Linked DNA regions of Lytechinus pictus. The protein of the gene in region 1 binds, or shares a complex with, the protein of each later gene. Links are inferred from orthologs where the notes say so. Each region holds a gene or a part of one and is shown on either strand. Other genes may lie near its edges.

Region 1 (12,170 bases):
AAACCAAACATGAAACATACATTTCATGCAAAATGTAATTTAAAAAAAAGTATTTGCAACACTCCACCAATACTCCCAAATTTCCAAGATGTTGGTCAGATTGTTAATGTAATAAAAATATAATTTCTCTGATATAAATCTCATTATGTAAAAAAAAAAAGTTTGTACAATACGGTGAAAATCATAAGAAATAAACAAACAAAAATTGAACTTACTTTTCTTCTAATAATCTGAGAAATTTCTTTCTTGCCAATTCCATCAGTCCGTCCACTTCTTGCCTTGATCTCTTGAAGTTTTCTATACTGAATGCATAGACGGTGACTTCTGTAATACCTAGATCTAAACACCATTGTAGAGTCTGAAAATATACCGAAAACATATAATGTGTAGTAATTATAGCGTTTAATGATAATGTGTACTTCATTAAATGTTTTACAATATTTTTTTTTCACTTTACAATGAAATCAATCAATCAACATATCCCAATATTTTTATTTTTTTTAAGGGGGAGGGGGTCATTCTATTTTCACTTTATTTTTCATAGAATAATTCTCCCCTCTTAATGATGTTTTTGTAATGTGTATGAACCTCCAGTGCAATATTTAATCTTACTCTTATGTTCTTATTTGATTTTTTCGTAGGTATATATTCCTTTCAGTTTCATGTAGGCCTATTTTTCTTTTTTCTGTGAACTTTGTAATGTGTCAGTCTTCTGACTGTTTTTACAATGTCTTCATATAATAAACCGAATGGAAGTAAATTATCGAATCATGTCATGGGGTGTGTTTCATAAAGAGCTACAACTATTGAGATTTTGCCATTATTGTAACTAGGTAGTAGGTACCATGGAAAACTTGATTCGGATTGGCTGCTGAGCTCAGTTACCATGGTAATTGCTATTGAGGTTACCATAGTTCAAACTAAAAACAAAATGGGTCCCTAGTGTACCCCAAAGACCACACATGTAAGTTTCCCACTAAAATGATTATTCAGGAATTATCTTTTTCTTTAATGCAGCTATTTTTCAAGTAATCAAAGAGGTTTTATTGACTTGGAAACCAAGAATAAATAAAAGAATTATTTTTTAATGCAATCCCAATTTAGGCCTACCCTTAATGTTCCAAGTACTGTAGGCCTATTATTTTTATTGCATGAATTATAACAATTTGTAAAGTGAGTTGATAAATTCACAAGTGACTTTGCAGCCCACTATTAAAGAAATTGTACATGCAGACTCACACGCGCAGCTCTCTGTATCACTATTAACTTCTCTAAAATGATATTGTACATGAAATGATAATCAACACATTCACTTGGTAACTCCCCCAAACACACATGCTTTCTCTTTTAGTCATTCAGGAAATCCAGTGATAGCATGTGCACTTTAAAGGGACTGGGTGAAAGTCCACATTATCTATCTCTTAGTTTTCATTCATTCCAATTATAAGTAAACATTGTTTTCAAAGTTTCCCATTCTCTGTTGGTGAAAGTGACAGATCTATATTTTTATTGGGAAAAGTAAAAATCACATTATTTTAGGTTTTTATTGCATATTGGTCTATTGAGCATTTATTCATTTGGTAATTAAGAGAATGATCAGTAACAGTTTAAATATAATTTAAAAAAATCAACATTTTGGGTAATCAATGATCACATCTGACCAATATTCACATTTAAACATTCAATGAAGTTCTGTAAATTGTATTGCATTCTGGATGTTCCTTTCAGTGTTTTTTTTTTCAAAGGAAGTCAAGATATTTCTTCTATTAAATTACACTGTACATGCAAGAAAAGGGCTGTGAACACCACATGTAGTACAGATGCATAATTATGCCTGTTATTATTAGATTGAGTGTGAAGAAGAATGGTTGGTGATTCTTTCATTCCCCCTCTACTAATATTCTGCATGATATTATAGAAGGGGGGGGGGGTGGACTGCCCCTCTACCATTTTCAAAGAGAGTACCAAAGTGATGACGTCACAAAAAAACTTTTTTTTTTAGCATTTCAGTGCTTTGATACTATATTTTTTGAGAGCATGATGAAAAACCCCCACTACCAAAATTTGGCTGGAATCGGTCCATGGGGGCCTGAGAAATGACCTCATGAATACATTGACTTCAATGGGGCTAATTACATGTACTGTATGTATTCATGAGGACATTTCTCAGAACTTCAGAAGAGTGTAAAAAAAAAAGAAGTCTGGAAAACTGGGACATGAAAAGAATAGCGCATGTCATTCTTACATGTCTCAAGTGGGGTAAAAAAAAGATGTTACTTTCAGGTTACCTTGCCCCGCCCCACCCCCCCCCCCCCCATCAAGGTACCATGGTATCAACCATGTACTTGAGGGTTTCCTAAAACATAATTTTCCCACCCTATACTTTGAATACAAAAGAAGACATATCCGGAAAGACTGATCTAGCAAACACTGGGTTTGCATATCCCTACACCTTTGTTTGGTTCACCTGTTACCAGAAAGTATCAATGGAAGAATGGACATTTAACCAATTGCGTACTGAATTATTGCGTCGCCATACTATAGACTGGACATCGAGACATGCAGCTGATAGGAAGTACTGATTTTTTTTTCTTCACTGAAGATAGCCAAACATATTTCCAGTGACCCTCCTGTCTAGAATACATTTTTGAAGCTTAAAAATTTCTGCACAATTTCTTTGGAATTTTTTTTTTTTTCATTTATAATATAGAGAATGCAAATATAAAGATCAATAATAAGATCAACTGCATATAACAAAGATATTCCTTTTTCTTCAAGCTGCCTTCATGTAGGCTTACAATTACACTACAATGGCTAGGCTGGCAATTTGCATCTTCCGGAGAAAGTGCAATATCATTATTAACTTGCAAAAGATTTATAAAAAAAACGTGCTTAAATTTTTTGGATTTCACTCTCACCTCCGCTAATTTCTCAAAACCAAGTGAATGCCCATCTAGGGTCTGAAAAGACTTCTTCTTAGCAAATCTGCGATTGCCATCCATGATGAAGGCTACATGCTGAGGCACGGGACCACACTTGAGGACCCGCAGACAGAAGGACTGGAACCATGTCTTCTGGGCCTGGTACTGCTTCTCTGGGAACCATTCTGAAGTAGCTGCTGATGCCTCGATCCTGCAATATAATGAAAAATTTGATTTGATCTAGCCCAGTCTAGAAAAAGAATTTTAAAACTTTTTTTACAATAAGCCATGATTGGGTGAGATCTACATGTAATAAAATGTGAAACATATTGAAAAGGGTAATTCCAGGACTTGATAAAGGGGACCATAATATTCTGGATCTGGATGTATACGATGCAGGGCCCTCCTGGGCATAAACGCATCATCGGGTGACTTGACCTGAATTTTGCCTGGACCGGCGGGTGCAACACACCGGCTGAACACCGTACTCTTTGTCACTTTGACTAGTATTGGTTTTAACGTGCATAGCTAGGTTGTGACTCTCCTATACACGGGACCAATATTTGCATCCTTTCCTACATGTATGCCATGGATGGAGTGTTTTCCAACTACATTCACACCTGCACTGAATACACAATGCTATACTATACTAGTTTTACTACTGTCTATTAGCATCAGATATTTTTTTTACTTTTAGACGCGTTTTAGCATGAGCGGGACGAAGTACGATCATATCTGAAACATGCGCTCTAACCGACCAAGCTACGCTCATAATTTCATAATTTGTTTAAAACCTGATAACTGATAAACTATTCTAAAAACATGAAAAAGTGAAGCCAAGCAGCATAACGTTACTAAGTCGTTAGATTATCTAAGTTAGATCTAGGCCTACACAGTATTGCCTAACTTTAAAGTCTCACTCTAAGTTAGACCTACATGTAGATCTAACTGTCACTGTCTCACTCTCACAAGTCTCAGTCTATTCACATCACCATCACATTCTCAGTCACAGTTCATAAAAAAAAATTCTAGATAATTTTTTTTATTAAAAAAAAAATAATGGCCTAAAATAAATATTGTATTATTATTTATCTAGCTCTTAAAAGAATTAAGTTAGATTTAATAATACTCACCAATGTTCATTAGACTTTCTAAGTTCTGGATCCATGTTACATTATCCAACTCATTAAGGTGAGGTAATTATTCTCCCACTCCCAAGACAGGGCCCTAACCTAAGCGTAACTCGACAATCCAAACACCCGGGACTTTCGGCAAGCAAGCACGTCGAGTTATGGTCGGCGTCGAGCGGTGAAGATCTGATGCAAGACTCGGTGCCACATCGGAGGTTCTAATTCAGGTACCGTAGCACCTAGCTGCATGCACGGGGTTTCGTCGAAAGTCGCTCGCTGAAGTTTCGGCGAAAAATGTTACTGCAAAATCGTTCTCGTGCATCTAGCTAGCGCAGTATGCCGCACAGAACACATGTGTATGGCTTCTCATACGTTACACACACACTTCATATCACACATGCACTGGAAAGTATCGAGCCTGTATGGCGTTGCCCACGTTGCACACATACGTTCAAGACACTGGCAATTTCAATGCATGCAATTCAGTGCATTATGCATGCATTCAATCAAGTCAAAGGTCAGGGAGAGCGGATGAATCATTGACCACAAAATTCTGGACTTTTCTAACTCTAGATTATTTTTTATACAAAGGAGTAATTTAAAGAATATCATAATTGAGTTCTATCCTATTAGGTTGAGTATTTACACTGTCATATCCAGATATTTTCTCACAAAAATGAGATATTTAACGAGCTATATTAGCATTGCGCACTGATACTATGCAAACGCTCGACTAAGTACAGTGCAGGAGCAGCAGGAACAAGGCCGGGAATTTTTACGGTGTTTATTGCGAGGTTGTGAAACACATGTATCTCTTCTGACAAAAAATTATAATTATCTGCTTGTTTTCCATTCGTTTCCTTTCTTGACAGACCATGTTTAGATATGGCTGAAGAGAATGTAGGAAGGGTAAACGACAGTACTGCTGAATCAGGTAATATTTTGCTGTCATTTTCCTCGGGTGCTGTTCACTATTTTATCCGCGCCTTCGCAGCGAAGTGTAACGACAACAAATCTAACGACCCAATTTCTCTCAATTTGTCCACAGAATTGTACTTCTTAATTGCCAAATTTCTGGAAAATGGACCCTGCAAAGAGTCAGCCAATGTAAGTATTACGTCTTCTTAAACATCTCTTGTGTATTTTTTGTGATTTTTCATCAGTTAATATCGTATATTTTCCTTGTCTTTGGCAGGTTCTCCGACGAGAGATCGAGCAAAATGGGGTGAGTGCATTTCATTCGTTTGTGTTTGATGCATGATGACTCGTTTTTGAAAGTGAATTTCGGCCGAAAATTCAACATTTCTTTGGATTTCGACGTCTACATTATAATTTGAATTGATAGAATGTTAGAATAATAGTTGTTTTAAATAATTGAATTAGAAATGATTAATAGAAATTGTTTATCTCCATTTTCTCAGTTATTTTCTGCCAGATTTGATTGGAAAGGCAACCAACATCGACAGAGCATCAAAAACTTGGTAAGAGATGTGAAAAACTTTTTCTATTGGATTTAATTTTTGAATTTCCCTCTAAAATCGTCAAATTTGTTAAATGTGAAAATTTGTGGATAGTTGGTTGTCAAATGGGTGTAGCAATCATTTGATACCAATAATAGGACTCACTTTCCATTTTTTCCCGAAAAAATCAGAAAAATACGTCTGAAAATAGCTTCTTTCCCATCCCCATGAAACGCAGGCATAGGCAAGTGATTTGCATAATGGATCGAGCAACCTGACCCCCCTAGCTATGACATCATTGTATGTGTGATCACCAAGCCAATCAGAGAGCCTGTAAGGGTTGTGAGGTGGCCACCTCATAGTGTTTGCAAAATGAGCTATGATTGGATGAGCTAAAATGCATATTCATAAGGGATTGTTTGCACACGGCACTGAGTTGTGTGCAGTGTGCATCTTCATGTTTTCAATTTCGGTGAAGTGTGTTGAATTGAGGAAACCTTTGGAGAGAGTCTGCTTGTGTCGTGAATGTGTACCCATTTGAGTACAAGAAAATGCGCTGACTTGAGTGATAATGACAACACTATACTAGTACTAGTTACCAATAATAATAATAATTAACAATGACGATGATGGTTATATTATAATAATAAAAGCAATAATTTAGTAATAATAATAATATGATAGTAATAATTTAATGATTAACATGATAATGAATGATATAGTAATAATGATAATTATTTAAATTATGCATAAGTAACTGGTACAAATTAGTACTACTACTACTACTTCTGCTGCTTCTACAACTACTACTATACTTCTACTACTACTGAACTACAACTACTTCTATGACTACTAAGACTAACTGCTGCTACTTTACTACAAGTGCTACAAAGATGCATAGGCTATATGATAAAAGAATAATTTGGTATTTATTATGATGAGGATAAATATGTTAATGAATACATGCATGCTAGTATATTATTTTGTTTTTCTTCCAATAAGTAAAATTACAATGCCCTTCTTGTATATAAACATCAAGTAATAAAATGAATAGGCCTATCGATTATGAGTATGTGACATCCACATTGATTTTCTCGGCTCACTTATTTTTGGGATTGAAATTCCAGAAGAGAAATCTATTTAAAACATGCCTTAACTACTTCAACATTTCATGTCCATTTGTGTTATAAAAAGGTGATTGTAAAAATAAATAGGTGATTCAAAAAACTCATTAGATATGGTAATTTATACACCATGATGTTTTCATAGTTATAATTTCAACTGATTTTTTTTCAGTGGGGGATCACACGTATCTAGTAGAGCTGCAGATGTTTCCCCAAATTCTACACAAATAAAAAATATTGTCAATTATTATTTGAATGCAAATTCATGAAGAGTTTCATTCAAAGACTGCACCAAATAATTTTTATATTTTGTAGAATTATGTATTATATTTTTTTCAGTAGAAATTTACTTTATTTCATCTTGAACAACATGATGTGTTCTTTATGTTTGTTATTGAAGTATACAGTACAATATTGTTTTCTTACATCTTACAAGGTTTTCCTCGAAAGAAGGGCATTTTATAATATAAGTTTATTATTATAATGTTGTAGAGCTCTATGAGTTTCACTAAACTTCTGCACAGAATTTTGATATTTTGCTGTTCTTTTTGCTTAGTTATGTTACAGGGCAAGTTATCCCAAACGATAAAGAATAAATTTTTTATTTCATAAATTCAAAATATAGAAAATTTGAATATGGAATTAAAAAGGCTGAGGAGATGAATAGCAGTATTTTGTCAAAACTCGCTATTCACAAAATCAATATTTTCCAAGTTTACACAACTTTATACAAAATTTATGTTGAGGGGAGGCTTGATATAATTAAAGGGCAAGTCCACCCCAACAGAAAATTGATTTGAATAAAAAGAGAAAAATCCAACAAGCATAACACCGAAAATTTCATTAAAGTTGAATGTAAAATAAGAAAGTTATGACATCTTAAAGTTTTTTTTATTTTACAAAACAGTTATATGTACATCCTAGACGGTATGCAAGTGAGGAGACTGATGACGTCATCCACTCACTATTCCTTTTGTATTCTATTGTATGAAATATTCAAATTTTTCTCATTGTCAAGTGAAACAACTTTGATTTCTACTCTGATCATGTGGAATTAGCATTGTTTAATACTATATGGTTCAGTCAAGTTTGTCCTTATTGTCAAATGTGTAAAAAATGAAATATTGTATAATTCACACAATAAAAAACAAAAGAAATAGTGAAGGACATCACCGACTTTCTCATTTGCATGTCACTGAAATGTGCATATCACTGTTTTGTGAAAAATAAGCAAAACTTCAAAATGTCATAACTTTCTTATTTTACATTAGATTTTGATGAAATTTTCAGCGTTATGCTAGTTTGATTTGTCTGTATTGATTAAAATCACCATTTTGCTGGGGTGGACTTGACCTTTAACTATAAAAGTAATGAAGATGATGAGTAGAAAGGGGAGTATGGTGATGATGAAAGATGGTGATGATGATGAAAGATGGTGATGATGGTGATAATGATGATGATGATGACGATGATGGTGATGATGATGATGATGATGGTGATGGTGATGATGATGATGACGATGATGATGATGATGATGATGATGATGGTGATAATTTTAATAAATGATATGTGGAGGAGTAGGAGGGATGGGAGAGGAGGAGTCACTGTCCACAGAATAAATGTTGTCACCAATGTAGCTTTAGTCATGATGACTCCAAAAGACGTAAGCAATTCAAATGTCTTTCAGGAACTTATCATCCATTGAAACGGAAATTTCAGTGCATTTATTAGGTCCACTAGAATTTTCTTCATCTAAATTTGTTTTCAGGAAAATTGCAACGGTCACATTAAGAATGATCATCTGTTGAAAATTGTTGGTCGTATCGGACATCTCCTGGACAAAGATGTGAAGCCAAGAGTGCATGGTGTAAAGTCACTGCTAGGGGGCGCTAGACAATCCCTTCTACGCACAGCAGCAGGTAAGAAGCTGCTTTGTTTGTTTTTCATTCTAACTTCTTAATCAAAGGTATCCCTTTATGATTTATCAGTTAAAAGCCTCTTTTTAAGTTTTTTTAAATCCCTCCAAAAAAGTTGCCATTTGAAATAAATGAATATTTTACAATATGTGAAACAAAACCTGATTTTTAGGGGTGGTTTTCTGAGATCCATTTTATCTCAGATAAAATTAAATATTTTATCTCTGTTAACATCAGTGAGATAAAATACCCTTAAAATCTCCTCGAATTGGTATTCTGAGAACAATTTTATCTTCATTTTATGGGGTTAATTCACCTAGAAATATTGGTGAAATCAACGCCGCAGAGATAAAATAGCCCCTACCCTCTTTTAAGTCTATTTTATTTTTTCTTCAACATGGGCGCAAGCACACATCCGCGTTGCAATGGCCAGATACGCGATGGGTATGTCTACGCAGGCACTGTTCTTTTGCGTATTCCTTATATAGATACGCAAGATAAAATTTATACGCAAGATATATAATTGTGAATTTTATCTGAGAGATAAAATGTTATCTCAGAATACCAATTTCATTTTAAGAGATAAAATAAAATATTTTAAAGATAAAATGACCTCAGAATACCGCCCCAGGGTTTTTGTCTCGCCTGCATAGCACAGCGAGACTATAAGCGCCGCTTTTCCGATGGCGGTGGCGTCAACATCAAATCTTAATTAACCGAAGGTTAAGTTTTTGAAATGATATCAAACTTGGACATAAGGTTAATCAAGTATTACTGAATATCATGCTTGAGATTCAGGTCACATGACCAAGGTCAAATGTCATTTAGGGTCAATGAACATAGTATTTCATTATCATATGAATTGTGGGGTTTTTGTAAATAAGTATTCAATAGTTGTTTTTCAATGTCAGCACTGCTGCTATATTGAATGGCGTAATGCAGGCGAGCAATGGCCAGATATGGGATGGGTATGTCTACGCAGGCACTGTTCTGTTGCGTATTCTTCTATAGATACGCAAGATAAAATTGTGAATTTTATCTGAGAGATAAAATGTTATCTCAGAATACCAATTTCATTTTAAGAGATAAAATAAAATATTTTAAAGATAAAATGACCTAAGAATACCGCCCCAGGGTTTTTTGTCTCGCCTGCATAGCACAGCGAGACTAGGCGCCGCTTTTCCGATGGCGGTGGCGTCAGCATCAATCTTAATTAACTGAAGGTTGAGTTTTTGAAATGATATCAAACTTGGACATAAGGTTAATCAAGTATTACTGAATATCATGCTTGAGATTCAGGTCACATGACCAAGGTCAAATGTCATTTAGGGTCAATGAACATAGTATTTCATTATCATATGAATTGTGGGTTTTTTTGTAAATAAGTATTCAATAGTTGTTTTTCAATGTCAGCACTGCTGCTATATTGAATGGCGTAATGCAGGCGAGACTGCCAAAGGCGTTCCACTTGTTGACTGTTAAACGCCAAGCAGGCATATAACCTAGGAAACATCAAAATCTTAACCGAAGGTTAAGTTTTTGATATGTCATCATAACTTCGGAAGTTGATGGATCTAGTCCATAAAACTTAGACATAAGAGTAATCAAGTATTACTAAACATCACGTGTGAGTTTCAGGTCACATGATCAAGGTCAAAGGTCATTTTGGGTCAATGAACTTTGGCCAAGTTGAGGTATTTGTTGAATTATTATTATAACTTAAAGTTTATGGATCTAGTCCATAAAACTTGGACATGAGAGTAATCAAGGATCCCTGAACATCCCCTGCAAGTTTCAGGTCACATGACCAAGGTCAAAGGTCATTTAAGGTCAATGAACTTTGGCCATGTTAGGGGTATTTGTTAAATTACCATCAGAACTCTGAAAGTTTATGGATCTAGTCCATAAAACTTGGACATGAGAGTAATCAAGGATCCCTGAACATCCCCTGGAAGTTTCGGGTCACATGACCACGGTCAAAGGTAATTTAAGGTCGATGAACTTTGGCCATGTTGGCGGTATTTGTTTAATTACCATTTATTTATGGATATATTTTATGAAATGTGGACATATGGATAATAAAGTATCACTGACAAGACTTGGATCACATGATCAAGGTCAAATGTCATTTAGGGTAAATGAACGTAGTATTATATCATATGAATGGTGTTTTTTGTGAATACATGTAGTTATTCTATATTAGTTTTCAAAGTCAGCACTGCTGCTATATTCAGTTTCATAATGCAGGTGAGACCGCCAGAGGCGCTCCACTTGTTTTATTTTTCTCACAATATAACATTTTTTTATACCCTAGATGTGAAGCCCCCTCTATGGAGTCCGTCTGTACATGCAGCACTTTACCACCAACGGCCCATAGCTCCACCAAATAAACTTTCTCAGGTGCCAAATGTCTGTGAGTATCAATGCTTTTCATTTAAATCATCTGTAGCAATAATTCAGCAGGCATCGTATTTTGAATCTGATCTGTGATATTATAATGCAAATTAATTATTGTTGTTCGTTTTTAAAAAGCACAACTGGAGTTGTAGTGAGCAGAAATTTGAGAAAAAAGCTTTTAAATCCTTGTCCAGCTCAACAGGAGTTGTGTGCAGAGAGAGAAAATTTTGAAGTCATTGTTTGATTATTGTACCAACATAGACACTATATAATTCTATGGAGTTCTGTGATATTTTAGTAAACCAAATGTTGTAAAATGAAGGAGTATAGATTGAATACTGATTACACAATGAAAGTCACCTACACAGAAACATGCATATGTGGGCACAGAATAATACTATTTCTTGGAAAAAGACCCATTTATCTTATAGAATAGCATGCTTTTAATAGCAACTTTGCTTGTTGCTCAACAGTATAACCATTTTACTACCAGAATCGTTTGACACATTCAATTTTTTTTCATGCATCTTATCAGATTATGTTCAAATTCAAATTATCGTTGTACAAGTAGAATTCATTTCAACTTCAATCATTTGTTTGTAACTTTTTTTTCACTGTATTATATCCATCTGTTAGACAATGTTATCCGAGGGAGACAACTAGCTGGCGTAGCTCGCCTTGATCACGTAATGCCTGGGGAGAGGTATGGCCGGACGAACCTTCACATTCGAACCCTGGGTCATCTGTCTTCAGCTTACTGTGTTCTGTTTGATCAGACAGGTCGCAGGATAATCACAGTAAGAATATTTGAATGCTTATGTCTAGTGGTGATCCCAGGGCCCCGTCTTACAAAGAGTTACGATTGATCCAGTCAATCGTAACTCTATGGAAATCCATCAGTGTCATAATTTTTTCTATAGGAAATTTGCAAAATGTCCTTTGAAAACAAAGGAGAACACAACAAATTGTCAAGAAATCAATGAATTTATGGATATACATTCATATCTAGAATTTTTTTGGAACAAACATGCATTTAACATGTTGACTTTGCTGGCTTTCCATAGTTGCGATTGGATCAATCGCAACTCTTCGTGAGATGGGCCCCATGTTACATTCAATCTATGTCTGAAGCTAGGATTGCAAACATGAGGCATGAATGAAAACTTGGTTACTGCGAGGTAGAATTCAAGCAATTTTTCATCAATGCTAATACACTTATTCT
Region 2 (13,111 bases), about 6.8 Mb from region 1:
AATCCTGGAATCAATATGAAGTAAGATATCAGAAGAATTCCCTTTGGATGAATTTGATCAGAATATAATTGTGATCAAACTGTTTGCATTGGGTCTGAAAAGGTTAAATTGTAAAGTACATGTACTTTGATATTAGACATAATCAAATGCCTGGAATCAATATGAAGTAAGATATCAGAAGAATTCCACTTTGGATGAATTGTTTCCATGTTCTTTCCTTATCTTATATCCTATTTAATAAATGGACATCCGCATGTACACTACCTTCACCAAACAGTGAATGGTAATGCGCTATTAATATTGACCCACTTTCATTTACGGTACATACAGAAATATATTGTAATATGTCTAGTCAGGTCAAACAAAAAGCTTCTATGTGAGTGGAAAAATAGAATTATACTAGCAGATCTGAATACTATGCAAAAGATACTTTGCTATCATACTTTATTCATTTCTGGTAAAAGACATGGTCCAAATGCAAACAAGTTACAAAACATTTCACATTTACTCATGCATACTATTCCATACGCAGACTCTAATATACATGTAAGAGTATTTGGATCTTGCATCTAAACCAATTTGAATATTACATGCTCCTGGCATGTACAAAAATAAATGTAGCACAAAGAATACCAAGATTTCAAAGATTTAATTAAATCACTGAAAAAGTATAAAAATCATAAAAACAATCAACATTCATATGGCAGTTCATTACAAAGACATATCAATTAATCCATTTACATATATAACCAAGCTTCTCTCATACTCTTAACTTACATGTATAGTACACATTATTCCAAAAATATATATATTAAAGTATTTCATGGAAAAATCTTTTAAGGGAGGGCTGCATTACTTGCCATATCTCTGTTGTGTTTTGGAATAGGAGTGGAGTACGTCGATGAAACTTTGGTAATTCATTCCATGATGTGTTGGAACAGACCTGTAAAATGGAATATAAAACAGCAGAATTTGGTTTATTTTACGCTCGGTTCAAAATCATGTTTCATTTTTCATTTATAAACACACATCATTAAACATGATAATGTTGTTATTTAGGCTGATAAATTCAAGCAAGAATATTGAGAAATCCTGCACTCATTGTCTTTCAATATTTTGATTCTAGAGACTATAATTTAAGGTTTTCCCATTCAATATGTTAACTTTTTTAATAGTGGTATTTAAACCAGGGCTCTGTAACATCAAGATTAGGGATCAATCGCTAAATGGACTGACCAATCAAAATCAATGTACCATGCACATTTTGTTTAAAACACTGACCGAGAACAAAACAGCAGTGTTCTTTCATATATTTGCAATCCATCAAAATGTTTTATGTTGTAAGGCCTCGAGATTGATTTATCTTTCTTCAGTACAGTGGTATACAAAAATCAAAATGACTGGGAACCGATGTATTCGGCCATATCAACTCGGCACTGGTCAAAATACATGGACTACACTTACCTTGCTGAGCAAGTCCAACCAGATCAAAACATTGCTCCATTATAATTCCCATTTAATAAAGCTTTCTAAATAGGTTTTGAGCATCAATATTATAATGAATTACGAAAACGAGCAGAAATGTTCCACAATTCTACTGAAGCATTGAGGATGAAATTGCACAATGAATTTCTTATTTTAATGACTGCAGTGAATGGTAGTTTTTAAAGACTACAGTTGTGCTCATAACTTAACGAACCCAAACAGAAAAAAAAACTTATTTAAAGTGTTCAAGTTCTGCCATGTTTTAGATATTTAATTATGAAGTCAGATGATAAAATATTACATTTAGTATCAATAAAAATTGCAGTGTTGTTGTCAACAATCGGCATGAAGGAGTGCATTTCATGGTGTGGTTCACTAACTTTAGAGTATCACAAAAAATCCCCTACTCTCCCAGTATAATACATTTCATGCAACTTAGAACATCATACTTACAATATTTCTGTAACTCTAATTTTCCATGGTGAATATCCAAGTAAACTATTAACTTGTCCAAACTGAATGATAAGATCTGGGTTGGGATAATCTAGTAATGCTGAAATATGAAAAAGTAATGAATCATGAAAGGAAAGGAAAACTACGAGAACACATTTCAGAAAATCAGACAAAAGTTAGACTGCATGCTCAGAGTTCAATAACACTTTGTGTGGATATAGAAAGTTGGGTGCAAATTTTACATTAAAGATGAATAGCTGTTAAAATTTGCAATTCTTGCAAAATAAATTTCAACTAAAACCAACATAACTACCTATTAAAGAGTGTGCACAGTAGGAATAAAAAAAAAATTGCCAGAAATTTTGGTTGTAAATAAGTAATTGCTCATTTTAACAAAACCAATTAAGGAGGCATTCTGTCAGTAGACAAGTATTTATAGAATCTATGCAACTTATAAAGACTACAGGTTAATGTTGATTCACTAGATTTTGAAATTACCAATTTATTTTTCCTGTCACTTTATACATGTAGGCTTAGCCATTATGGTAAATGTCAGTTGCTATTCAGTTTTTTTTGTGATTGAATGCTGATGGTGGCTAACCCATAACTTTACCCAAAGTCAAAAAATACATGTAGTTGCAGATTTATGTGTAAAAACAAAATAAATGGGATATTTAAGTTTAACTTACAATTCATGACTTGGTCTAAATTGGTAATGCCTATTTCTGATGCTCTGTATCTGTTGTCTGCTACATCTTGACATAGTTTCCTGGCAGATTCCAAGATATCCCCCCGTCCATCTTCACAAGACATAAGGGCTATCCGAGTACTTTTAGTATCTGCAAATGAAAAATATAACCAAGTGTCATGGATTTGGCAAGAGCATAATAGGACATTTTGAAAGATGTTTGACTGCCAATTTTCATAGATTTGCAAATGCTGAAATGAGTTAAAGGAGAATCATCTTTTCAAGCGATCTTCATCAAGTGTTGTAAATTATGCCAAATTGAGACTGTGATGATAATGTCAACATTCCAAAAATATTTACACTGCATATTGCTATCACTTTCAACATCTCAAGAAAGTAATAAAAATCTGTAATGATGAATAGGGTTCATTAGTTTTCTAATTCTACTTTCATATAAAATATATTTCAATTTTTTTTTCAAAGAAACCATTGCTTAAATCTATTTTTGAAATTAATAATGCAGCAAGATAAGTGGAAGGAGTTCAGTGGCTACTTAATCAGAACAAATTCAAATACCACCTGTTAACAGAACCAGTATCAGCAGATATGTCCATTAATTTTATCAATAGCCTTTATGTTTAGCATCATGAAAGAACATTTTACCACAACTGAAGTCCAAATTTTGTAGAATATACTGTATTCCTACATCTAACAGCACTTCAATCTCACTGAAAGAAATTTAGGTTTTTACTTTGAATCATACCTAAGCACACAGATACACACACCAACTTTAAAAAGCAAACTACAATTAGGAAAGGAACAGCTTACAACTTAGCAGTGAAAAAAGTGGCCAAAGTAAAAATTGACTTAAATCCAGAATGGTCAGACATACCTTGTAAAGTTTCTTTGGTGGTAGTGACTTTATAACTTCTTTCTCCATTTCTCACTGGTGTCTCAATATGGAAGACAAGGCGGTTACTCTCTGAAATTGTTGCCATCTTTTTCTGCATCACATCTCTCAGTTTTGAAGGGTTTTTCTTGAAGTAACCTGCAATAGTGTTTTTAAAAAATAATATCAAATCAATTATCAGAGATTCTTTGTTTGGTTTTTTCTGGCTATCATATTTTGTCATTATTAGCTTTTGAATACTTTCAATATTTTTAAGTTAAACTCAATCACCATGACCACTACTACCAGACAAATATCCAGAGCTACAATATATAGGCACTAATACTTGATGTAGTAATCCCTTTGGCAGCTCATACAGAAGCTATACTGGGATGATGAATAAAGTGAGCCACTGGAAGGAGCATCATGAAGCGCAGAAATGGTGATGGATAAACATAGCAATTTTGTAAATGTAATGAAATAGACAATTTAAAGGACATCACAACATAACCTTTAAAAAAAAAGTATCAAAATCTAGATCACAGAATCAAGCAATACAAAGTCACCAGTATACGGTACCCGGCCCAGTCGTTGTGTGTACGGACAGGTTGTGTGTAGGACCGTGTCCAGACAATCAATTTTAAACAACCATTTGGAAAAGTTATCGAGCAAATTCTCAACAATGTTTAGTACAGAATATTAATTATAGAGAACAAAATTGACGATTGCAACTTTTGTTTTTTTTTGTAAAAATTTACCTCAGCCTACGCTGAATTTTAATGATTCCCTTATCATTTTGGTGACTTTAATTTTAAAATGTTTAAAAGTGAGCCCGTAACTTGTAAAACTAAAAGTTATAAAATAATGGTGGGCCCCAAGTCTGCGCACCTAACAATTTGAGTTAAGATTTAACATGAATTTCTTCTTATGTCACAAAATCTTTCAGTTAATAATGTTCTTTGTATTATCATAAGTGTAGGCCCTACCAAATTTTTCATTGAAAAATGAAATATAAGATTTTCTTGAAAAAACCTGTCATTTTCAGATTGAAAAAAAAAATGGTACCCCATGTCTGTGCACTCATTCACTTTGCACACAATTCAGGGATTTTGATGAGAAAGGCTGCATTCTGAGGCCGTCACATAAAATGCCCTAAATTCATTATTTTTCCACTATTTTGAGTCAAATTTTTTTATGAATACCCGTCTATGTATTGCATGTGTAAAGTCTGTGTTCGTTGCATATCTTCTTTTAATAGAATCGCGCAGACAAGGGGGACTGCGCAGACTTGGGGGAACTTGCCATAGTCATAGACAGTGTGAGTGGTAGGCCTTACCCGTATTGACTTGTTAGTGTTACTGTTATTATAATTAGTACCGGTACCGGTATTTAGTGTTAATCAAATTTTATTATAATATTATTATGATTATGGCTATTATAGTATTAATTATATTTGCATGTTGAATGTTCACCTTCATCATCAAACAGAGAAACATATTGAAATCCCATGGCTATGCACCACACCAGTAGATTAGCGACATCTTCGTCTGAAATCCGACTTTCCAGGATCTGCAGACCGATGTGTAATGGAAGTTTGGGAAGATTCTTTGAGTCGATGCGGCATCTTTCAGCGGAAAGTTTACGTTGCTCTCCAATGCACAACCCGATGTGTTTGGAAATAAATCTCGTTAAACGAGTCCACAAATAAAGACGAACCCATAACACGATATGCACAAAATGCAGCAAAGCAGTGTGACAAAAGTCCAAAGCCATACTTTTTCGATAAAGACCTCTTGTTTTTGGTCTAATTTGCACTGGGTTTTCTAAACATCAAACCGAACGCTTAACGTGGCCCATTTCAACTGAAGTAACCGACCAAGATAAGAAACATTGAACCTACGGTATCTCTTAGATTTGACTGAAAAATCCGCGGTATCGGAGGATTTTTTTTTTTTTTTTTTTTAAGTTTTCGGAGTTTTCCGCCTCATATTCGTGTTACTATCATGGCGTGATGTCGAGAAATATTACCACCACTGCGGTGCATATGACCGACCTGGGATACTTCGTTCTATGAATGGAGGGGATGTCGCGAAGTCATCCATGAATATAATACAAATAACTTTTAAAAAAGAATAAATGCGAGCGCTAAGCGCGGGAACAAAAATGGATTGAGTTTGGCTCATAAAAATACATTATTACTTAGTGTATATCTCTATGGTTTGGATACTCATACTGTTTTCGTCATGGGCGTAATTCCATGGTGTCATACTATTCAGGTGGTGGATGAAGCCATCATACACCTGTCACCCCCCCCCCCCCCCCCGTGAATGATAGGTTCAGGGAGACGATCGAGGGAGACCGCCAGTGATGATAGGGAGCAAAGCAGAAAGCAGAAAAAACAAGGAGAGGAGGAAAAATAAGAAAAAGAAAGATAAGAGGGGAAAAAAGTGAATAATAAGGAAAGGAGTAAAACTGTCGGAAAATGCAAAAAAATTCAGGCCACTATTAAATCGCGTTGTACGTGTAATGAGATAGGCCTACATCCGATTCAATATAGGACTGAATATCCAATTTTCAAGGCAAAGATAATGATATTTCTTTGCCGCTTCGGGCTTTATTTCAATGAGAGATACGCACCCTGTAAGTAATAAAAATAAAATCTTTTAGCATTTCGCTGTCGCGTAGATGATGAGTGAAATAAATGGAGTGACCAAACGCCACACAGGCGCAAAAAATTGACATGTCACAGTTTAAGTTTTATTTTAAGCCTTTTATAGTGCTTTCCGAACCTTTTTGAACTATTTTTGCAGTGCATAGGCCTACTTAAAATTTTCAAGTTGTCTAAATTATTGTTGGGGCAAATCGATAGGCCTATGTTTATTTGCCCCCGGCAATATTTTCATGGGGTCGACCGCCCTTGCCCCCTTAATCGACATACGCCTCTGTATATAGAGTGATTGGGCTCTATTTTCTACATTATTGTAGACTATATTCATACAGGTCGCGCCCCAGGGTTCATGTTCTTTTGCAGCCTATATCTGCATGTTGAGTATCCCACTCAGGAATTGAAGATGCTGTAGATGTAATTGTAAACAATGAAGAATATGGGCACCCCTCCGATGAATCCAGTTTATCTCAATCCCGAATCTCATTATGTTACTGCAATTCTTCGTGTGGACTTAGCCCGGATTCACGGTGGAGACAAAATGAAATAAAATTTGAATTTTGATGTGAATCTAATCCCTCACCCTCTCTCTGCAAATGCTGGCCGGCGGGGTAAAGGATCATGACTCATGAGGAGTCATTATGATCCACCCCCCCCCCCCCCGCCCCCATACAATCATCTCCGTGCCCTTTTTTGACAATGATCCTACATTGACCCCACTGAATGATATTCAGATCAGAGCATGGTTGACCCTTAAGAGCCCCATACCTTCAGTTCCCAGTTGTGTCACGTTTTGAAAATCCATCACCTAGAAAAAAGTGAAGTTTTAATTGCCCCCTCTTTAAGTAACAATTCTTCGGGTGTATATATTTTTTTTAATAAGTAATCTATAGAGCAAAGTGTACATGGCATGGGGAGATTAGTAAAAAAAAATGAAAACCTAATTTAATTTTGTGATCGATTAATAAAATTGATTGTTTATTTTTTTTTATAGTCATGCATGGGCGGATCCAGTGGGCAGGGGGCCGGCCCGGCCCCCTTATTCGCGGAGCCAAAAAAAAAAGAAGAAAAAAGGGGGAAAGAAAGAAAAAATTTAAAGAGAGGAGAAAAAGAAAAAGAAAATAAGAGGAGGAAGACGAGTGAATAAAATGAGATGAGAGAAAGCCTTGGAAAAAAAAAACTTTTCAGCTCGCGCTCGCATTGTTTGATTGTTCAAATATGTATTGTCTTCATGGCTAACTAGGTGCAAACATTCCTTAACAGGTCCCTTTTCGATCAGGCTAGAATGTTTTTTTTTTTTTTTTGCTCGCGCTTTGCGCGAGCAGTAATTATTTATTTACATACGTATCTTGAAAATTTTAGCTCACGCTTCGGGTTCGCACTATATAGGGCTTATGAGATTATCAATAGGCCTATGTTAGTTTAAAAGAATAACATATGAATTTGTTACCCCCTATTTTGTTCACCTAATATGAAGGTTTTATTCAGCTTGGGTCGGCTGTATTTGGCAGTTAATGATACGCGTACCGCCTTGACCGAACTGTGCGAAGTCTGTGTGGTCTGTGTGGTAGAGATAGGCCGGGCCGTAAACACTACTTCTTGGGGGTGCATAAATTGCCCTAATTAAGTTTATTAATTGTGACAAAATAGAATCACTGTAATTTGTTTATGATATTGACTGTGGTACGACATAAGGATAACGGAGCAGCTTCTGTTTATGTTAAGATATAGACATGTAAGGAAATGTTTTCTTCTGACCAAAAAGTGAGAATAATTTTCTCTGATTCTGTACTCCTTCCCTCGATGTACTCCCGAGTTCAGGTTCAGTTGTCTTAGCGACGCGTTGTTTACTACTGCGCGCATTGTGTGTGTACGTGATTATTGCATAGAAAGGTATTCGGCGTATTGTGTGGTGTATACACCGTTCATGCTCTGCACGTATACGTATATGCACCGGTATGCACACATTATTCATCCCTGGATTTGGCTTCTTAAAATGAGACAAGCATGATTTAACGTGAAAATTGACGGAGCTAAATGATCAATCAATATGAATTTTATATGTATGAAAAGCTTACATGTTACATATCCCTGTCTGGGAACGAGGATTTCCAAATCTAACGCAAAACGCGCTGCTGCCAGGTTGAACATCGTATACCAAAATCCAATCGAGCACAGTGCGACCAATTAATGGATATTGTGCATGATAAGAACAAAAAAGTTAATTGCATTGTAAAGTTTAACCTAGAAGTGACGAATTTTTTTTTCAAGAATGGACATGATTTTACATGTAATGAAAAGGAAATGTTCTCTTCTTCTTCTTATATCTAGGACGAGGATATTGTACCCCCTTTCAATTTTTGATAGGAGAGGAAAGAATATAAAGAGTTGATAGGCATACTAAAATAGACAATGCGCAGTGCGACTAATCAATTAACGTAGATTATGCGTGATAAATACAAAACAAGTTCATTGGATTGTAAAGTTTGACCTAAAAAACACGGCGGTTTTTTTCAACCAATTAGGTTGAACCTTATATCACAAGAAAGAGTTACAACCTGTCTATCTGATAGTCGATCGTTGAACTGAGAAATTTTGATACGAAAGTCAGACGCTGTAAGAGAAGATCGAGCCCAAAACCGTGCAAAAAGTGCTTCTCTCACACATAAACACGAGAAACTGTGTATTTTCAGTCAAAAAAACACGGTTGTTTTTTTAATCAGAATATAAAATGACAGATATCATGAGATGTAGAACAAGTCTAAGATTAAGAAACCGTTTGAACCCGTGAAAAATCTCGAGCGGTTTTTGAGATATGAGTTAAAAGAGCCGAAAATTGGTCTATTTTGTCAAGTTTTTGACGCCGGAATAGGGGATTTGCCACGGTGCGCGTTAAGTGAACACAACAAATTCATATGGCTCTAGTGTCTGTTAGGACTGCCCCTTCAAAGAAACAAACAAATTTTAGCGGCTGTTCTAGGAAATTATGGTTTTAAAAATCGCGCCCCCCCCCCCCCCCCCCTATTGGCGAAAGCTTGATCCACCCCTGGTCATGATTATTATCGAACACTGATAATACCACACTCAACTTTCCTTTTCTTTTCTAATATCCTTTTTCTTGGTCGTGAAAGATTGGGGGCCAGAGCACCCCCCCCCCCTCCCCCCCCCCCCCCCAATACGCCAGTGCCTATTTAGGCCTACGCGAGTCGCGAATCCGGTTGTTTATTTTGCGAATTTAAGAACAATTATTCTGATGAAGAAAACGCGAAAAAAAAATATTGTAAGATACCATACATCATGAGTATCATTGTTATGGACTGTATTTTCAGTAATATTGCGTCACTGCAATATTCAAGCAGACAGCAGCACACGACAGCAGCAGCGGGCGTAATTGAGCTGCGCTGAGTTAGTGAGGCCTAAGATCTTCAGAAGTTTGGTGAAAAAATACAGAAGCTGCATAATTATAGATTGTACCACACCAGTAAATTCATTTCTCTTCACAAATTGTGTGAGTGCCGTTCCACTAGCTTGTCAACAAAGTAGAGGTTTGACTCTGAGTGCTGTGCGAGCTACGATATTTCACTAGCGGGAGCCAGCGATCCCACGCCAGTGAGCCCGGGTGGTTGACAAGAAGGAATCCGCTGAAAAGTGGAACAGTGCATCGATCATGGCGCTCAATCCATCATCACTGACATCACTTAGAATTAAAGCACTGAACATGAAGAAGTGTATTTCTTATGCATCAGTTTCTCGAAGACCTAATTTTTGGATACAGGGACAGGGCAAGGGATTTCATCAAAGTTCAAATTTATCAGTCAAAGTTCTGATGAACATGACAAAGGTAAGTCTTAGACTTAGGCTTAGCTAGAAATTAGAATAGATTTTTCAAGAAGTTAATAATTTCATGTTGATGGCAGGAGTTCGCATAATTAATTTGTGTCATTTGTTGTGACCATTGGGTTATCCCATTGCTCAGATTCTACTCTAAGGTTGGGGTAATAAGTTAAAAACAACAACAATTATTTTTAAAACTTGTAGTTTCTTAAATGAAATCTTATGTTAAATCGAATGTAGATATAGGGTCGGAATTATCAATTTCAGTCAGATGATCATCAATTAGATCTGTATAAATAAAATAGCTACCAAATGGAAAATGTTTTTCTCCGAATTATTTTCAATGGGATTGATATTGAAAAAGTTATATCATGAATATTCATTGGTGACTATTGAAATATACTTTTTTTAACAGGACTTCAATGAAAAAATAATAATAGAGGTTCTATTTACAATAATTACTGGGCCTAGTAGGGATCTCCAATTAAAAAATCCCAGTGGAAGGAAATGAGTGAGTTTATTTTAAACAACAGAAAAGTTTATTTTAAAAAACAAAATGACCTGCTGGCCCCTCCCCCACCTTTTTTTTCGCCTGTCAGAAAATTTTTGAAGAATTTTTTTTTGCTCTCCTAGAGTGCTAAGAAACACTGAATCCACTACTGAAAATCCATACAGAGTGCATTCATCTAGTCTGTTCTCTTTATGAAAATAAACAAAGAAAAAAATAAAATGTTCTACCGGTATATTTCTTTTAAATTTATAATTTGTTCTCTTCCTCAGGAAAAGCGCATTTTCTCTGGGATCCAGCCTACTGGGGTGCCACACATTGGCAACTACCTTGGAGCTATCCAGAACTGGATCCAGCTCCAGGAAGAGGAGAATACTGAGATGATCCTGAGTATAGTGGATCTTCATTCCATCACTCTCCCCCAGGATCCCAAGGAGTTAAGGGAGAGTATCCTTACCTCTGCTGCTGTTCTCCTTGCCTGTGGGATCGACCCTGATAAAAGTATTCTCTTCCAGCAGTCAAGTGTAAGTCTAACTCTCTTTAACTTTTGGAGTTCAGTCACTGGCATACAGATGGTGAGGGGGAGGGACTTGGGTGTTCATGGACCCCAAAAAATTTCACAACTAAAAAAAGGGAAAAGATGAAAGAAAAAGAAAGGAAATTGGAATAAAATTATTACAAAAATTAGATTTTTATATCAAAGGGGTAGAAAAATTGTGCTCGCTCACTTCACTCGCTCACAGCAATTTTCAGAAATTTGCCCCATATATAAAGTCTTGCCCCACCAATTTTTGGGTTAATTACGCTGGCCACTGAGTTCAGTATTGAAACGGAATGAGACCAGCTGGTAAGCTTCCCGCCTAAATCTGTAACATTGGATAAGCATTGCAATGGGTGGGGATTTTTCAAGGGCTCCCTTTTTAGTTTCCATGGCTCTTCAGAGTATCTTGGGGGTGAAATCGCCCTGAGCCCCCATGTAATTTGGCCCTGGTGCTGATTAAGAGTCACATCTGACCATTGAATAACAATGGAAAAACAAACATGTAATGTACATATATTGTTATTTTGAGGTTCGGTCAGTCTGGCACTTATCTTCAAATGAGAGTTGAGCCATGCATTTGACACTTATAGGCTTTTGATTGAAATCATATTGCAAATTAGCACACATTTATAAGCAAGGGTATTCTTGGAAAAGATTCATCCAATGACATGATGCCTTGCTTATTGTGCTAATAAATAATTTTCTAATCAAAGTTCATTTTGTGATTGCTAAACTTTGATTTATTGTAGCTTGAAGATTTTTTTTTAATTTTTAGTTTGTTCATTGTGTCCTTGGAAGAAAATTTGTGACATACAGTACAGGGAGTGACTACAAAGTTTATTGAATTGTTTTTACAGTAATTATTAGAGGCTGTAAGATACATGTATGCTGTTTTATGTAATATCAAATTTGTCATGGCAACACTGGGAACCTTAAATGGAAATGCAGTAGATTTTATGATGTACTGGTACACTGTTAAAGTAGAATTATGGGGAAAAAATCAGATGCTCATAATATTTTTTTCTGGTCTTGAATGATATAACCATAATTATATAGCTATTTGAAGTAAAAAAAAAAAAAAAAGCTGTTTGTGTTTCACGCTGTAGATAGTGTTCTATTCATCTTTAAATAGAGAAACATTTTGGTGAGGTAGTAACAAAAACTTGATCTTGCAATTGAACATAAATCTTTGCCCATATACTGTATTGGGGTTTCAGAAGAAAAAGAATTACACTATGAATAAAGTTTTATAAGTGCAATGAATGTTTTGAGTCAGGAAAATGCATGAATTGCCATTTAGTTTGATACCAAATTTATAACACTTACAATAGAAGATAATCTTTGCTGGTAAACATTCAGTCTAGAATACTATATACATGTAGGTGTGTGCACTTCTGAATCTAAATTTGTACCAGTATGTGAGTCAAGAGTAAACTAACTACAATTCACATCTGCGAGTTTCTACAGATTATTGTGTTTTACACTTTGAACTGTAAATTTTAAACATATATGTGAGTTAAAAGTAAACCAACATCAGTCTTGCATTTAAAAGAGTTGGTGGTATAGAAAGGGAAGTAAAATGTTTACTTTCATGCAGGTGTTCTTTGTAAATTCTTTGTTCATGATAAAGTACAAATGTACCATGTACCAGCCTTTCATGTAATCAGTGATTTTAGCAGGCAGTTTTGAGAGGCCACAAATTACATCCAATCCAAAATGTAAACATTTATTTTAATGCTGCACTTGTGTCAGGAAGGTAAAAAACTAGTAGTGATCATGTTCAAAGTACTCTACTTACTATATTTTCAAGATTTTATGCTTATTCTTAAAGTGTTTGCTATACACACATTGGGGGTGGATCTAGGGTGTGAGGGGGCCTACACCACCACCATATCTTCCTGAACCCCTCCCAGTTTTTATTTATTATTCACTTATATATTTATTTATTTATGTATTTGTTTGTTTGTTTTCAATTATCAATCCTTAAGTAGCAATTGCTTGTATGGGGATGACCTTTTACTTTTCATGGCAGGGGGGGGGGGGTAAAT

The links.
Region 2: the proteins of dehydrodolichyl diphosphate synthase complex subunit DHDDS-like (region 1) and dehydrodolichyl diphosphate synthase complex subunit nus1-like are in contact, whole or in part, in a crystal structure (PDB 7PAX), measured with the Homo sapiens proteins. The link is inferred for Lytechinus pictus from reciprocal best matches to the Homo sapiens genes DHDDS and NUS1. Residues at the interface, in NP_995583.1 of Homo sapiens: Arg37, Arg38, Glu81, Asn82, Lys84, Arg85, Arg159, His160, Ile162, Ser163, Val166, Arg167, Met169, Ala170, Trp171, Val173, Glu174, Pro180, Ser181, Ile183, Ser184, Glu185, Leu188, His199, Glu209, Val210, Arg211, Leu212, Ser213, Asp214; in NP_612468.1 of Homo sapiens: His137, Gln138, Pro193, Glu194, Lys197, Ala198, Ile200, Val201, Ala204, Gln205, Phe207, Cys208, Gln209, Val211, Ala212, Arg217, Pro218, Thr219, Leu221, Asp222, Val223, Leu226, Asp237, Pro246, Val247, Asp248, Ser249, Thr250, Leu251, Gly252.

The regions. Positions count from the first base shown.
Region 1 is NC_087248.1:11,204,142-11,216,311, reverse strand, and holds the start of dehydrodolichyl diphosphate synthase complex subunit DHDDS-like, read right to left. Parts: upstream 4,865-12,170; 5' UTR 4,090-4,864; coding exon 4,055-4,089; intron 3,133-4,054; coding exon 2,919-3,132; intron 359-2,918; coding exon 216-358; intron 1-215. Other genes in the region: PH-interacting protein-like, read left to right, coding at 4,937-4,985, 5,100-5,158, 5,247-5,276, 5,473-5,532, 8,404-8,554, 10,866-10,964, 11,585-11,745. UniProt on the Homo sapiens protein: With NUS1, forms the dehydrodolichyl diphosphate synthase (DDS) complex, an essential component of the dolichol monophosphate (Dol-P) biosynthetic machinery.
Region 2 is NC_087248.1:4,385,811-4,398,921, forward strand, and holds the start of dehydrodolichyl diphosphate synthase complex subunit nus1-like, read right to left. Parts: upstream 5,376-13,111; 5' UTR 5,289-5,375; coding exon 4,988-5,288; intron 3,675-4,987; coding exon 3,519-3,674; intron 2,778-3,518; coding exon 2,628-2,777; intron 2,039-2,627; coding exon 1,939-2,038; intron 944-1,938; coding exon 853-943; 3' UTR 1-852. Other genes in the region: tryptophan--tRNA ligase, mitochondrial-like, read left to right, coding at 9,848-10,021, 10,795-11,046. UniProt on the Homo sapiens protein: With DHDDS, forms the dehydrodolichyl diphosphate synthase (DDS) complex, an essential component of the dolichol monophosphate (Dol-P) biosynthetic machinery.